Linked DNA regions of Saccharomyces cerevisiae S288C. Changing the gene in region 2 together with the main gene of any one other region gives a genetic interaction. Each region holds a gene or a part of one and is shown on either strand. Other genes may lie near its edges.

What was found. Genes that interact genetically often act in the same process or in processes that back each other up.
Region 1: mutations in YHR210C (region 2) and YPL034W together harm fitness more than expected from each alone (negative genetic interaction), as found in Saccharomyces cerevisiae (one large-scale study listed by BioGRID).
Region 3: mutations in YHR210C (region 2) and ECM32 together harm fitness more than expected from each alone (negative genetic interaction), as found in Saccharomyces cerevisiae (one large-scale study listed by BioGRID).

The regions. Positions count from the first base shown.
Region 1 is NC_001148.4:483,719-487,709, forward strand, and holds YPL034W (uncharacterized protein), read left to right. Parts: upstream 1-2,993; coding exon 2,994-3,491; downstream 3,492-3,991. Other genes in the region: H(+)-exporting P2-type ATPase PMA2, read left to right, coding at 1-1,968; SRL4 (Srl4p), read right to left, coding at 3,644-3,991.
Region 2 is NC_001140.6:519,013-525,077, reverse strand, and holds YHR210C (aldose 1-epimerase superfamily protein), read left to right. Parts: upstream 1-3,340; coding exon 3,341-4,366; downstream 4,367-6,065. Other genes in the region: CRG1 (S-adenosylmethionine-dependent methyltransferase), read right to left, coding at 4,766-5,641.
Region 3 is NC_001137.3:538,642-545,555, forward strand, and holds ECM32 (RNA helicase), read left to right. Parts: upstream 1-3,048; coding exon 3,049-6,414; downstream 6,415-6,914. Other genes in the region: monothiol glutaredoxin GRX4, read right to left, coding at 1-527; TMT1 (trans-aconitate 3-methyltransferase), read right to left, coding at 823-1,722; YER175W-A (uncharacterized protein), read left to right, coding at 2,009-2,173. UniProt on the Saccharomyces cerevisiae protein: Probable RNA helicase, which may be involved in modulation of the translation termination process. Probably unwinds double-stranded RNA.

The DNA of each region.
Region 1 (3,991 bases), on a different chromosome or scaffold from region 2:
GGTGACAATACCTTCGTCGGTAGGGCTGCCGCCTTAGTGGGGCAGGCTTCCGGTGTAGAGGGCCATTTCACTGAAGTATTGAATGGAATTGGTATTATCTTACTTGTTCTAGTTATCGCTACTTTGTTGTTGGTCTGGACCGCATGTTTCTATAGAACGGTCGGTATTGTAAGCATTTTGAGATATACTTTGGGTATAACCATCATTGGTGTCCCAGTCGGTTTGCCAGCAGTTGTTACCACGACCATGGCTGTCGGTGCAGCTTACTTGGCTAAGAAGCAAGCCATTGTTCAAAAGTTATCTGCTATTGAATCCCTTGCTGGTGTTGAGATTTTATGTTCTGACAAGACTGGTACTTTAACCAAAAACAAGTTATCTTTACACGAACCCTACACTGTCGAAGGCGTTTCTCCGGACGACTTGATGTTGACCGCTTGTTTAGCTGCCTCTAGAAAGAAGAAAGGTTTGGATGCTATTGATAAGGCTTTTTTGAAGTCATTGATTGAGTATCCAAAAGCTAAAGACGCCCTGACCAAGTACAAAGTTTTGGAATTCCATCCGTTCGACCCTGTCTCAAAAAAGGTTACCGCTGTTGTAGAATCCCCAGAAGGTGAAAGAATTGTTTGTGTCAAGGGAGCCCCATTGTTTGTCTTGAAGACTGTTGAAGAAGATCACCCAATTCCGGAAGATGTGCATGAAAACTACGAAAATAAGGTTGCTGAACTAGCTTCTAGAGGTTTCCGTGCTTTAGGTGTTGCTAGAAAGAGAGGGGAAGGTCACTGGGAAATCTTGGGTGTTATGCCATGTATGGACCCCCCTAGAGATGACACCGCTCAAACAATCAATGAGGCCAGAAACCTTGGTTTGAGAATCAAGATGTTAACCGGTGACGCTGTTGGTATCGCGAAAGAAACGTGTAGGCAATTAGGACTTGGTACAAACATTTATAACGCAGAAAGGTTAGGTCTGGGAGGTGGAGGTGATATGCCTGGTTCAGAGTTGGCTGATTTTGTTGAAAATGCCGATGGTTTCGCAGAAGTTTTCCCACAGCATAAATACAGAGTCGTTGAAATCTTGCAAAACAGAGGTTACTTGGTTGCTATGACTGGTGATGGTGTTAACGATGCCCCATCTTTGAAGAAGGCTGATACTGGTATTGCTGTCGAAGGTGCTACCGATGCTGCCAGATCAGCCGCTGATATTGTTTTCTTGGCCCCTGGTCTCTCTGCTATTATTGATGCCTTAAAGACTTCTAGACAGATTTTCCACAGAATGTACTCCTATGTTGTTTATCGTATTGCCCTATCCTTACATTTGGAGATTTTCCTGGGTTTATGGATTGCTATTTTAAACAACTCTTTGGATATCAATTTGATCGTTTTTATTGCTATTTTCGCAGACGTTGCCACTTTAACTATTGCTTATGACAATGCTCCTTATGCTCCTGAACCTGTGAAATGGAACCTACCAAGATTATGGGGTATGTCTATTATTTTGGGCATAGTTTTAGCTATAGGTTCTTGGATTACTTTAACCACCATGTTCTTGCCTAATGGTGGTATTATCCAAAATTTTGGTGCCATGAATGGTGTCATGTTCCTGCAGATTTCACTAACTGAAAATTGGTTAATTTTTGTCACTAGAGCTGCTGGCCCATTCTGGTCTTCCATTCCATCGTGGCAGTTAGCCGGTGCCGTTTTCGCCGTTGATATTATTGCTACCATGTTTACCTTATTTGGCTGGTGGTCTGAAAACTGGACTGATATTGTGTCAGTCGTTCGTGTCTGGATTTGGTCCATTGGTATTTTTTGTGTATTGGGAGGATTTTACTATATTATGTCCACGTCTCAAGCCTTTGATAGGTTGATGAATGGTAAGTCATTAAAGGAAAAGAAGTCTACAAGAAGTGTCGAAGATTTCATGGCTGCTATGCAAAGAGTTTCTACTCAACACGAAAAAAGCAGTTAGTAATTTTAAACATCATCCATCTGATTTTTTTTCTTATTGATCTCCTTTTTGTTATTCCTCATTTTCATTTCAATTTGTCGATACCAAGGAAGCCAAGACGTTATAAAAGAACACGGTCAACAAAAATCAAATTAATGCCTCTTCAATTGTGCTCTGTTTGATACCTTCGATATGATGTTACAGTTTTAAAGTTTACACACAAGTTTTTAGACTAAGTGGCATCATATCTGTCAATTTTATCACACACACACACACACACACACACAAACAAACATATCCACATATCAGAAGTAGGCCGATCTTTTGCTTGATTGGATGCAAATTCATATGGAAAATTTTTTTCATATTATTTCGTGTTCTTTTGACTATTTTCCTCTCCAAAAAGGAAGAATCATTCCAATAACAACACACGAATTCCCATCCAACATGGTGAAATGACTAAATATTTTTTTTTTCGAAACATTAAATCAATCTAATTCTTAATTTTTAATAAACATATAATGCACACTTATTTACATACAAGCACATTGCACGTATTATATCAGTTTCTTCTTTTATGTTGATATATTTTTCTAATAATGTTATTATCATGTAGTCGTGTATGTGCGCCTCTCCCGCGAGAAGTCCAACACCATAAGAAATCAAATGTCAAGAGAAATAAAGAATTGTTTCCCATCATAGATAAGACTATATCAGAAAAGTGCTCATCAAAGCTAAATCTATTATGAGATGTCTTAGGCATAACAAAAAAGGGAGAGCGGTGCAAGATAAACATACCGTCGGATAAAAAGTACTGTCATTATCATCAGTGGCAAGATGCAAGGTACACACGGGCACCAAGAGATAATGCGCAAAATAAACCGGGTTTTATTTACATCTATACATACAGTAACCTCTTTGAATCATACATATCTGAAAAGACGGTAGATTTAAAATGGCTATTTATTGATGAGTCAATAGTTCGGACTAATGGTAAAAAGAAGAGACAATGGGTAGACAGAGACTTTATTCTATGTAAGATAGGAATGACCACTCGAAAAACAGTAGATTCAAGACTTTTAGAATGGCAAACCACATGCAAGCATCCAGTGATAAACTTGACTCCAGAGAAAGTCGATAAATTATACCACTTGAAATTGAAAAGTGAAAGCAAAAATATCAGTTCAAACAGGCTATTGCCCATTTCATTATCAAGCTTACAAAAAAAAATGGAGAAACTTTTCATCAAAGATAAAAGTCACTCACACAAGCCTTCCCTTCCAGATCCTAAGGTGCCAACCCTACGCACTTATAAAGATGGTGGATTTTTCATTAGCGGAAAAGGTTCAATGAAACTACCAGATATCGAAAGCGCTATTCATAAATTTTTATGGAAGAAATACGGGAAAGGATTGGTTTACTGTTATGGGTGTGATCCAACTGGAAAAAAGAGGCATACAGAGTGGTTCAATGTGCCTGTATTGGAGCTACCATCAGTACTAAGACTTATTGATTCTTATTGCCTTGGAGGAGAATCTCGTTAGACTTAAAAAAAATTTTTTGGCCTATTCTGGCCGGTTTATTCAAATTATTTATCATCATAAAAATTGTAGTGTTACCTTTCTTTTCCTTGAATTATTTATAGAAATATATGTGCTTAGCAATTTTATCACTGTTACTTCGATTTGTAGTACCCTTAAGTAAAAGAGCTTTTGAAACCAGTTATCAAAAGAATATCACCAATTGATCTTTTGCTTTCGAGAATTGTATCACCATATCTTCCCTCAAGTAGACAGTGGACGAGATGTTTCGAGATACTCGGGGAAAGTCTCTTCCAATGTGCTTCACTTTCAAAACTGGGTAAATATGCAATCAGCGTTTTTACATTCAAATTACTATCTTTCAATTTAAGCTCTGAGGTTATTCCATCGTGGAAAGAGTTTATACCACATTTCGATGTAATAAAATGTGTTCCTGATTTGCACGGTTTTAACGTCAATACCGATGATATGTTGACAATATAGAACCCCTTTGCTTTTTCTTG
Region 2 (6,065 bases):
ACGGCCTTTAGAGGTTAAGCGATCTACGCATAGATGTGTAGCTTATGCTGCATTTCGCGTACTCCTGCATGCAACCAAAGTGTAATTCTCGAGGGTGCCGTGAAAAAGGGTGAAATTAAGTTTGAAAGCCGGACTTGATGGCTGCTAAAAATATTTATAAGACCTAAAAAGGAGTATTTTTCTTTTTCCCTTTTGTTGCACAACAGCGGGTTTTATGACACAATGACGTATCATCTGTATATCCTAAGTCAAAAAGAAAGAAGAAAGTAAAAAATGTAACGCGAGATAATCCCGTGAGAATCCAGAAGCTCGAGGCTACATGAAAATCTCCCGGAAAGAAGAAAATTTTCAAAACCTTAATTAATAAGGTTTTTTTGCGTAAAAAAGGTTCGATCGCAGGCTGAAAACAAGCCGCAAGTTAATTATAATCACCTTGGGCCAAACCGTAGGAAAGTTACCAGGTGAATTTAAATCGGCTTGAAATCCTTTCGGAGTATGATTCCAAGGTTGGGAAGGAACAGTGCCTCGATTCTTGAAAATGGAACCATACTACTTATTAAACTTCTCGCAATAAATGAGCAAAAGTGCTTCATCATGGCTGCACTTCTAAAATATGAAACCCTCTTACCTGTAATCACTAAAGAACTGGCTATTAAAAACAGAATTTTTTACAAAAAAGAAAGAGGCTTTTCGTAAGGTTTTCCCCTACTTTATTCTTACTACGCGCTGGGCTGGGTTGAAAGTGCCTAAATTCTAGTGTTTTGAAAGTCACCTAATACTGGTGATTTATCTTTTGTTGTGCAGCACTGCATGTGCGAATGGTCCATGATGAGAAAGGCACAAAGACTCGAGCTCATCATTTCCTGGTATTTTTAGTGGGGATCTATCAATAAAGGCGGCTTGTCAACTTGACACACACAATAAAAGACCTCATTTAATTTTGTTAAAAGAACATTATCTGTTAAACACGCTGTGTTACTGACATTGTTTCATAAGTAATAAAAGATCTGACTATTATCTTATCCATACCAGTGTTCTGTTTGACAAGTAGCTGCAACCGGAAGTTATTCCTTCTCCACTGCAAAGATCGTTTAATTGTCCCATCCTGCGCGATCACGTAACATGCTATGAACGTCGGGAAATTTTTCACTTGTGAAGTCTTAGAATGTGTAATCATGTAACTGAGGTTTCTGACGACTAGTAGCATATTTGAACTCTATTAGGATTAACACGAAGTTCTAATGATTTTTCTTTCTCGGAGTTAAAAGGAAACCCGAACGTTTGTTGCCTCTAGATTTTTTCCATATATTTTCCATATGTTCACTTTTAGCAATCGCCTTTGCTTGTCTGATTTAGTTGAAAACAACAGCATTTGATATTCATGAAAGTCTATTAAAGGAAGAAAGTAAAGAAACTTTCTTCGCCTGTTTTCTTCCTAGAATACTGTTATACCAATAGAAATTGAAGGTTTGGGAGAACTTTTGAGAAACTTTTTTAAATTTCAAGACCTGTGCTTTGAACGTGTCTCATTTCTGCGTACAATGCCAAAGTTGGAAGGTTTTCTTGCGTATGGTTCTAGTTCTTTGCCAAATTATTGATTTCAATCACGCTTTAAAGTTTTTTCTGGGTTTTCTCCACATAGGATAGTGACAAGAAGTGCGGTAGCCATGTGGTTTATTGCAGATCACAGTATGAAGGACCTTCAACTTACCTTATTTACTTATTAACAGGAAATTAAGCGTCATAAAAAACTACAGCGGTGATAGGAGCTGTGAAAGGATCCATATTGCTATCGTGAGTGAAAACGAAGACAACCTGAAAATAAGTATTTTTCCGCCGTTCTTCAACGATGTATTTAGATATCAGTCGATATTAACGTATAGGAGGAGGATCGATTATCGTGAAGATAGAAAATAATGACCGAAGAAGATTCCCTGGTAGCGCACACTTCAAACTAAGGGTTGGTCTCCGGTAAATATCAAGATTTGTACATTTGGCTAAGTGCTGGAACCCATGCAATTGATCTTATTGTGATGATTTGATGATATTCCTCCGTCAGAAAGTCCTAGAACACAACCTCTGGATGAAAACAGAAAAGAAAAATATGCAAGATGTTCAAGTGCGCGCGGAGCAAAAAAAAAAAGGAACAGAATACTAAAAGAATACGTCGCGAATCTCGTTATTGACAAGGCATGTTTGGATGAAAACATGTAATGCCCCATTCAGCTTATTTTTCAACATTTTCAGAGTAACACGCAGAAGAAGACTTTGTTTTTCCAAAACCTCCTTTTGCACTCAAAAAGAATGCCAGTTCAGCATGGCATATTGGAGATTATTTTTCATAAAACTGTAAGAATTGTAAAGCAAAACTGGTGCACTGCTACATCAACTCTTATCTTCTTGCATATAAATTTAAATGAAAAGGAACTACTTTGTAATTATCGATATTACATTGAAACCTATGAGGAAGATTATGACATGATAACACTAAACTATTGCTGGCCAGCACCCGAACCGAGTGTCCAAATTGAGTTTTGAATCAGTTTTCAGCTCAGAACAGATTCCCCTTTTCCTTTATTAGGTCGTATCATCATTCTATGTGCAACTACTGCAGCATTTGCGTATAATTATGGAAATAAAATTATACGAAAGTTGATACTTGGTTGTAAATGGCCTAAGAATCGGAAAAAATGGAATTCTATTGGCATGCTATCTTGTTTAATGAGATTATGAAGTTGAATATCATTTCTGCGTTTTGCATTCAAACAATATCATTTCAAAGGCCTATCGCTGTGAGCAATACGCTGGATTTGCTCATCGCACAGTAAGCCTGCACTACCCCACCAAATTACAAGAATATAGTAGAGATCAGAAGCTTATGAGAAGTCACTTCCAAAATTCGCGTTGTCCAACATCCTTGGAATAATTTTTCCTCCTTATGCATCCAGGTGATTGACACTTTTTGACGGGATAAATGCAGGTGGAGGTGGGGGAGGGGTAAAGTTTCGTAAAGAGTGTCAGGTCGCATATCTTTGCACTGCGCAGAAATTCTCGCAGAAAATTACGCTACGGAGAAATTCTCGGGCACTAATATCGTACAAAAATTAGGTTTGTTACGTGATAATATGGCCTTGTACCTGTTAAGTTTTTCCGACAATTAGTTACTAGCTGAATATCTTAAAAAAAGGTAAAAGTAACTCCTCCATGGTTTGGTTATTCATGCGTAAACACCTTGGATGCTCTGAGATATAAAATCAGAATGTACTACGAAGTACTGGAACTCAATTGTACATTATGTTACTGCAATAAGTAAATTCACCTAAAAAGCCAAAAAGTGATAATGTCAAATAATAAGGCTGGCGGTGAATATGAAGTCATCACTATTGGTGATGCAAAAAAGCTTCAAGCAACAATTTCAGAGCTTGGCGCTACTTTGCTTGACTTGAAAGTGAACAACGAATCGATTGTTCTAGGATACCCTGATATTCATGGCTATATATCAGATGGCTACAACTACATTGGTGCTACTGTTGGCCGTTATGCAAATCGTATTTACAAGGGCATGTTCAGTATGGAAGATGGACCTCATCAGTTGACAGTGAACAATTGTGGAAACACCAACCACAGTAGCATCAGCTCCTTCCATCTCAAGAAGTATAAGGCATCCAAAGTCCAAAATCCTCTTGATGACCTTTACATTGTTGAATTTACGTTATTGGATGACCGCACACTGCCCAATGAATTTCCGGGAGATCTAGCTGTAAACTTAAAGTACACATTGAACGTTGCTGACATGACCTTGGACTTGGAATACGAGGCAAAACTGGTCAGCGGTGAGGCTACTCCCATCAACATGACGAATCACACGTACTTCAATTTAAACAAAACTATGGATAAAAAATCCATTAGCGGTACGGAGGTTAGGCTCTGCTCAGATAAATCATTGGAAGTAAGCGAAGGAGCACTAATTCCAACCGGTAAAATCGTTCAAAGAAAAATTGCTACTTTTGACTCCTCCAAACCTACCATTCTGCAGGATGATGGCCCGATTTATGACTACGCTTTCATTGTTGATGAAAATAAGAATTTGAAAACGACAGACTCAGTAAGTGTAAACAAGCTCGTCCCTGCCTTCAAGGCTTATCATCCGGCATCACGACTTTCATTGGAGGTTTCAACAACAGAACCAACTGTCCTATTTTACACAGGTGACAACTTGTGTGATGGATTTACGCCGAGATCTGGCTTTGCCGTTGAACAAGGCAGATATGTTGACGCAATCAACCGTGATGGATGGAGAGACTGCGTTCTTTTGAGACGTGGTGAGGTATATACTTCTAAGACTCGATATCGTTTTGCGGTGTAGGCACCAAATTTAGTTGTTTACTTTGCACTGTCGCATTATTTTTCTATAAATTGAGCTTTTTATAATGAGATATGATCCGGAAACAGCTTTCTGAAGTGCATATGTTATAGTTAATATTAAGAATTTTTTGAGACTTTATTATGTTACCATGATTGCATTATCTTTTAATGTTAACAGTAACAAGTTTACGTATCGCTTTAAAACATAATTACATTCAGAGGTCGGAATTTAGAGCCAATAAAATTTTTAGAGCATATGTTGACGGTTTTAAATTACTCCCAACTGCGCAACAACACCTTATTTTCTTTTTGCCATATTTTAATATTTATTAGCATTTGGGAAATATTTAAAAAAAGAAAAAAATCAGCTTTTTATATATTTCTTTTAATTTAGTAAACCTCATTCTCTTTTCCTACATAAGTAATAAAACGTTGACCACTCTATTTTTAAAGGTACATTCAAATCTTCACAATGACAGATTTCTTTGAGCTCGTTAATGAATATATCGGCAATATCCGGTTTCGAGGGATTATCTCTAGCCCAAGAAGTGTATATGCTCCAGCTTTTCACAAACTCTTTAAATTGATTGAGAGTAATAGCTGCTCTCCAGAGAAACTGACTGTTTTCAGCCGTTACTGTTGATGCATTTGGGTCCGAAGGACTGTAAATTGTGACTTCAATATCTCCAAATCGATCTGACAATAAAGAACGTAGCTTTTCACCACCGTAATTCAACAAAATTTCCCGTTGGTTGTCGTTCAGATATTTACCCATATAATCCTTGCTCCATCCATATTTGTAATATACATTCAAGGCTTCGGGAAAGTCCACAAATTCCGGCTGAATATAAAACCAGAATGCAAAAGTTCCATCACTTCGTAATATAGAGGAAACCTGCTGAAACAGCCTTTCTAAATTGCACCAATGGATGGCTTCTGCTGAAATAACCATATCTACACTTTCTGGTCGAATGCTGGATAAATCTTCACCAGGCGCATTAATAAATCTAATCTTTTTATCTAATCTACGTTCATTTGTTTCTTTCTCAGCAATCGAAAGCATAGCAGAAGAAGGATCAATCCCAATCACTTCCTTAAAATAGGGTTCAACGACAAAAGTTGCTTTTCCTGTGCCACATCCAATATCAACCAAACTTTTGCGTGTGCCTTTGTGAAATTTCATTATCTCATTGACTAAAGATAAAGGGTAAGAGGGACGTACGTTATTATAGTGAGCAGATTCAAAATTTTTGTTTAAATAACTAGTTTTAGGCATTCTGGATTCTTCCATTGACAGAAGACTGGCTTTGAAGATGTACTGAGTGTAAAAGGGTTAACTTGAATTTGCCCCTTTAGTTCGTGCCGTTTGTTTATGTTTATATACGTTCCCTTGGGGCCGCTAATTAGAATGCTAAATATAGATCGTGGAAAACTTTCACTACAAAGCTTCTCGTTGTTGTGTTGGCTGAACATATACTAATGAACTGTTTAAATCAGGATTATGGACCGGTGAGGGAACATAATCATCTCTTCATGCCTGAACCTGTATGCCACGATGATGGAAGGCATACCATTATTCATACTGTACTTGCACCTCTTCTGAACTACGCTAGAATTTATTCTTCAGAAAATACCAGGGATATCCTTATAGATTTTTTTTTTTTGGCATAATCAACTCTCTTGGGTATCTTGCCGCATTC
Region 3 (6,914 bases), on a different chromosome or scaffold from region 2:
TGTCTAGAAAATCCGCATTTAGGTTCTGATGGGCTTCCTTTCATGAATAGCATCACAGGTGCAGCTTGTACTAGCTTCACCAGCCTAGCATTTATTTCTTCTTCAGTTTCGTCCTCTTCATCATCGGAAGACCCGCTGCTTTCCTCATCAGACGTAGATTTAGGACCCTTGGCATTGTTCGCTAGTGAGGCAGAAGCATTCGAAAGAATTTCTAAGCTTTTCACAAACTCCTTAGGATCTGCGGCTGATATTTCTTTTACAATAGTACCATTTTGAATGAAGACGAAGTATGGTACGGCTGCAATCTCAAAAAGGTCTGATATTTCTGGATGTTCGTCTGCATCTATTGATAAAAACCGGACATCCTCTTGCCTAACTTTTTCACTAACAGCTTCTAGCACCTGGCTCATAGTTTTGCAAGGATCAGCCCATTGAGCTTTAAAATATAAGACAATGAGTTTATTAGCAGCGTTTGTAGTGGTTAGTTGCGTAAATTGGTCCTGGCTTTTTATTTCAACCACAGTCATATTTATTGGAGGAAGAGCACAGAAATTTAGTTATATGTAAGTGGAAAAATGAAATATGCTCAGTACCCAAAGACAACAATGTTACCGGGAAAACGAATCAACGTTCCTGGCAGTAACAGATTAAAAAATGGTTCAACTGGTACAGTATTAATATGCTATTTAAGCTAAATATCAACCAGTCTTCAGATATGGTAACTTTTTCTAGGACATCTGTGAATACGTCGCGAGGCTTCACCAATTAAAACGCGCGCTCTTACTAAAATTTCACGAATATAATGCTTATTGGCTGAAATTTTCAGACCCTTTTGCCAAGTTTGTAAAAAGTATTCCAAACAACTTCAATTTTGGTGTTGGTGGAAAGTTCCGGCCTCCTCCTTAGTGACTCTTTAATAAACCAATCTGCTACATCTTCTTTATCTTTGTTCTTTGGATCCTGCTTCCACTGATGGTAAGCGCTCCAGGTTCTGACATAATCTGCAAACTCCACTAGGGTGACCTGCTTTCTGATTAGCAATGGCTTCTTTGTATGCTGGTGGAGTTTTACTTTGTCTCTCACATCTTCTGCACAAAAATATGAAACTTGTATATCATGGAAAAGTTCTGGGTCTAAGTGAGAGTCTTTCAGCATATTACGAAGGCGAGATCTCCCCGGTTGTTCCCAATAGGGTCCCAGTCCTTGCTTCCCGTAAGGAACTTCAATCATCAGATCATCAAATTCAGGGTAGTCCGGGAAAATTGGGTCCGCATAACCCCAAATAGCGATAGTACCATCTTTTCTCAAATTGGCATAAGCAGATCGCTGAAATTTTTCGAAATCGAACCAATGAGCACATTCTACTGCGGTAATCATATCAATTTTCTGTTTGTCTACTGAATCCGCGCCTAGGAATTTAAAATCATCACTTGAAGAAATCTTAAATGAAACGTTTTTGTATGTATCAGGACTTCCTTCCTTTATTACTTCTGCAGTCTTAATCATGGTAGCGGAGAGATCGCTTCCGATAATTTGTTCGAATGGTTTTAACTCCTGAGCCATTTGTAAAGTGGCAGTACCTGGTCCACAGCCAACATCTACGAGTAATTTCCTTTCTCCGTCGTGGTATTCATCAATCATCTTGTAAAAATCGGAGGGATAAGAAGGTCTTGAAGATGAATATCTTTCTGAGTTGAAATCAGAAGCAGAAAAGGTAGACATTATTATCACTTATTTTGTTATCTTGTTAGGAGATAATTCTCATAACAACTAATAAAGACTGCTACAACGAAAACATACTAAATTAGTTACATTCCTTTTCCTTTAAAAATGAAAATAAGGAAGATAAACTTTCGGAAAACCAGAAAAAAAAAGGATATTACTGTGAGTCATGAACATCAACACATAAGGTGTGATTCATTTATAGTAAACAACGGCAGAATTGCACCTAATTTTTCTGATTAGATAGGTTGATGGAACACCCTTTTTATTGGTCATTTAACAATGCATGAGACTACATAAAACATTTATCTGTTTTAGTCAAAACAAACGTGGTTGTAGAAATATTCTGCAAGAAAATTCGCGGATGATATTTGAGAATAAAATACTCATAATGATATTGAGGCAGGGTATATTTTTTAATATTAGCGTGAGCACCAAGATCAGTTTCTAAACATTAGCAAATTATTCTAGGTGGTATAAGACAGGCTAAAAATCTATAATTGAAATGTCAGCATCTTAAAATAAAACAGGAATTAATTTCTAAATACGCAATTGATCCAAGTGTTATGTCAATATGACTTACTGAGAACATACTCTGGCGGGCTTTACTTCCCGATCTCACATGTTGCCTTCAAGAAGCACAAAAAATTTGCAGCCCAAACACTGTCAGACACGGGAATCGATCTAACATCGTAAAATTTCAGCTGCTTCGATAAATTGGTACCCAAATATTGGAGAGACCTTTCACCACACCGACTTGAAATAGTAAACTCAAGCGCAATGATGAAAATTGGGTTGCAATGTATATTTGATATCACAAATACCAAAATTAGCCGCTTTTTTGGTACGCACTTATAATCGAAGAAATTGATTCTTTTTTAGATTTTTAACAAATGAGGTTATATGAGAATGAAGCAGGTCATAACAAGCGGAACCAAAGCTTACTCAAACAAGTTATCATTTCCAACTAAATCCTACTTGAACTGCACCTCTTAAAAGAAAGATAGAAATTCTATACAAGCGCTCTCACTCAATAAGAATTGTAAAATGAACATGACAGTGATGTGTCACACCTCGATCGGCAACGTGAATTGGTTACCGTCTATTTAGTAATCAGTACAGAGATATTGAAGATGCCGCTATTTTTTTTTTTTTATATTTCCGCCGTATTTTATTCCTGTGTAGTCGGGTAATGGATGCTATTTGTATGCGATTTTAGAGTCTTAAAATGCTCAAGAGTGATGTATAATGTAAGTTCATCATTTGAAGAATTCGAACAAAGTTGTGACAATATAAGGAGTTCCGCAGACTAAGAAGTACTACACGATGGATTTTCAGTGCAGAACGTGTAGCCAGGCTTATGATGCTGAGCAGATGATGAAGCATCTCTCAAGTACGAGGCATAAAACTGTATTCGACACTTCAAATGATGAAGATATTTGCTGTGAGGAATGTCAAGATAAAAATATACACCAACTTCAAATCATCAGGTTTGGGGGTGAAGACATGGTTTTACTTTGTAATTCGTGTTTTCGGAAAGAATATTCAGAAACGGAGCGTCCATCAACTAGCTACTCATTACAAAACGGCTCTATATTGAAATTTTGGGAAAAGTACGTGAAAGTCAGGGAATGTTGTTGTGATGAGTGTGGGGAAGAGTCTAACTTGAATGCAAATAGAAATGGAGAAGTATTATGTGACAAGTGCTTGCCCAAATCGAATAGAGCTAAAGACTTTGTTTCTGAAAAAAGTGGAAGATTCCTATACATCTACTTGGGACTGAATGAAACACAGAATAGCACTAGAAAGCCTAGAAAAAAGGGCGGCAGAAGAGTTGGTAGAGGAAAGAAGGGCAGGAAGGGTGCTAAGATTAAGAAGGAGAAAAAGGAAACTTTCGAGGCCAAAATAAGTAGAATCGCTTATGAAGTCAAGAAAGAAAATAGTACCATTCAAAGCTCTAGTAGTTCCAATCTAAGAAACTTCAAAGGTTTCAAAGCGGTGGAAAGCGATCCAGTAGTTGCAGCAAAAGTAAGCAAATCAGAGACTAGTAGAAGTAATCCTGGCCCATCAAATCGAAACAAAGGGAAAGGAAATAAGGCAAACCACAAAAAGAATAGTGGAAATGGGATAGGAAAAGAGAAAGAGAGGAAAACAAACATTAGAAATAATGTCCGTAACAGCCAACCTATACCAGAGGACAGAAAAAATACCAATAGCCACGTTACAACAAACTCTGGAGGGAAAGGCAAGAACGAATCAGTGGATAAGCACCAATTACCGCAACCAAAAGCTTTGAATGGAAACGGGTCGGGCAGTACTAATACTACTGGTTTGAAAAAAGGGAAAAAAGACCATGCTGGCCAGAAGACTAAGGGCAATGATAAAACGGGTAATAAGAATCCGCGAGAGGCCAAACTAAATTCAGCTGGCAGAAAGAATGCACTTGGCAAAAAATCAAATAACCAGCCAAATAAGGGAACTAGCAGGTGGACAATTGGATCTGATACTGAATCTTCTAGAGAACCTAGTATTAGCCCAAACGAGAACACAACTTCAATTACTAAATCGCGAAACCGCAATAAGAAGGCTAGCAAGCCGACGCTGAATGAAAAATCAAAAACAACAACGATGCCAAAAAAGTTGGAGACAAAAAATCAAGAGAAAAATAATGGAAAAACTAAGGACGGGAAACTTATTTACGAAGAAGGTGAACCACTCACAAGGTATAATACCTTTAAGTCAACCTTATCATACCCCGATTTGAACACATACCTAAATGATTACTCATTTGCCCTTTTTTTGGAACAGAAATTAGAGAACGAATTTGTTCAAAACTTCAACATACTATGGCCTCGCAATGAAAAAGATACAGCTTTTATAATCAACGTTGAGAAGAATAATAATTCAGAACTTGAGAAATTACTACCTGCAAATTTGCTTGCACTCGGTAGACCGGCATTTAATGAAAGGCAACCATTTTTCTTTTGTACTCAGGATGAACAAAAAGTTTGGTATATTTTTATCAAAGAACTTTCTATTCAAAGGGGTAAATACGTGTTGTTAGTGGAGCTTTTTTCGTGGAATAATTTGAGTTTGCCAACGAAAAATGGTTCATCTCAATTTAAGCTATTGCCAACTTCTGCGCAGACAAGTAGAATTCTATTTGCCATGACGCGTATTACAAACCCAAAATTTATTGACCTATTACTAGGCCAAAAGCCTATTAAAGAGATTTATTTTGATAACAGGCTAAAATTTTCCAGTGACAAGTTGAACCGATCTCAGAAGACTGCAGTGGAACATGTTCTAAACAACAGTATCACAATTCTACAAGGCCCACCTGGTACAGGTAAAACATCAACAATAGAGGAGATAATCATCCAAGTAATTGAAAGATTTCACGCATTCCCAATATTGTGTGTTGCCGCGTCAAATATTGCTATTGATAACATTGCCGAGAAGATTATGGAGAATAGACCGCAGATAAAGATCTTAAGAATTTTGTCAAAGAAGAAAGAACAACAGTATAGTGATGACCACCCATTGGGCGAAATTTGTCTCCACAATATTGTATACAAAAATCTTTCCCCAGACATGCAAGTCGTGGCAAACAAAACCCGCAGGGGCGAAATGATCTCCAAATCAGAGGACACGAAGTTTTATAAAGAGAAAAACCGTGTCACCAACAAGGTCGTATCTCAATCGCAAATAATTTTCACGACAAACATTGCTGCAGGTGGTCGTGAATTGAAGGTTATAAAAGAATGTCCCGTGGTAATAATGGATGAGGCTACACAATCATCAGAGGCTTCAACACTAGTCCCACTTTCGTTACCAGGTATAAGAAATTTTGTCTTCGTTGGGGACGAAAAGCAATTGTCAAGTTTCAGCAACATCCCTCAACTGGAAACCTCACTATTCGAAAGAGTCCTATCTAATGGCACGTACAAAAACCCACTAATGCTGGATACGCAGTACAGAATGCACCCAAAAATTAGCGAATTCCCCATTAAGAAAATATACAATGGTGAATTGAAGGACGGTGTCACGGACGAACAAAAGGCATGGCCTGGCGTGCAGCATCCGTTGTTTTTTTATCAGTGCGATTTGGGGCCCGAGAGCAGAGTGAGAAGCACGCAAAGAGACATAGTCGGGTTTACGTACGAAAACAAACACGAATGTGTAGAAATCGTGAAGATTATCCAAATACTAATGTTGGACAAGAAGGTTCCGCTGGAAGAAATTGGTGTCATAACGCCCTATTCTGCACAGCGTGATCTGCTGTCTGACATCTTGACCAAAAACGTAGTTATCAACCCCAAACAGATTTCTATGCAACAAGAATACGATGAAATTGAGCTATTTAACGCGGCTGGTTCTCAAGGAACCGCCGGCAGTCTACAAAACAATGTGATTAACATCATCAACGGCCTACACGTCGCGACCGTAGACTCCTTTCAAGGCCACGAAAAATCTTTCATCATATTTTCATGTGTCAGAAATAACACCGAAAACAAAATCGGCTTTTTACGTGACAAAAGAAGGTTAAACGTGGCATTGACAAGAGCCAAGCACGGACTAATTGTGGTGGGCAACAAGAATGTCTTAAGAAAAGGAGACCCCCTATGGAAAGACTACATTACCTACCTCGAGGAACAAGAGGTCATATTCACTGATCTCACAGCTTACTAGCCGGCTAGGCGGCGGCAAGAAAATCCACTGTTTATGTATTGATTGCGCAATGCAGAGATAGATAGATATAGATAGATAATGGACGTAGTTATAGAACAGAAAATCGGTAGATCGAAAACACAGGGGAAAAAGGGGGGGGGGGGGGGGAGACAGCGCAGCCACGTGACGGGCTTCCTCTTTGGAAAGTGGAGCGAAGTTTTGCGGAAGCTACTTTATTCCGGCCTGGAGTCAAAAGAGGAAGCTCGGTGGCAAATAGCTTCCTCTTTGTGGCCGGGGCGCGGGGGGACGAGGCAAAAAGCAAAGAAAAGCAAAAAAAATAAAAAAAAAAACAAAAAAACAGGGGTATGAGAAAAAGACACGCTTTTCCACGCGCAGCAAAAAGGAAAAAGGAAAAGGAAACTCTTTATTATTGGACCTTAAACCTGAAAACGAGACGAACCGTAACATAAAACCGTGTAGTTTCTGCAAAAATAACTTAGTTTTTCCTACTTTTCAAAATT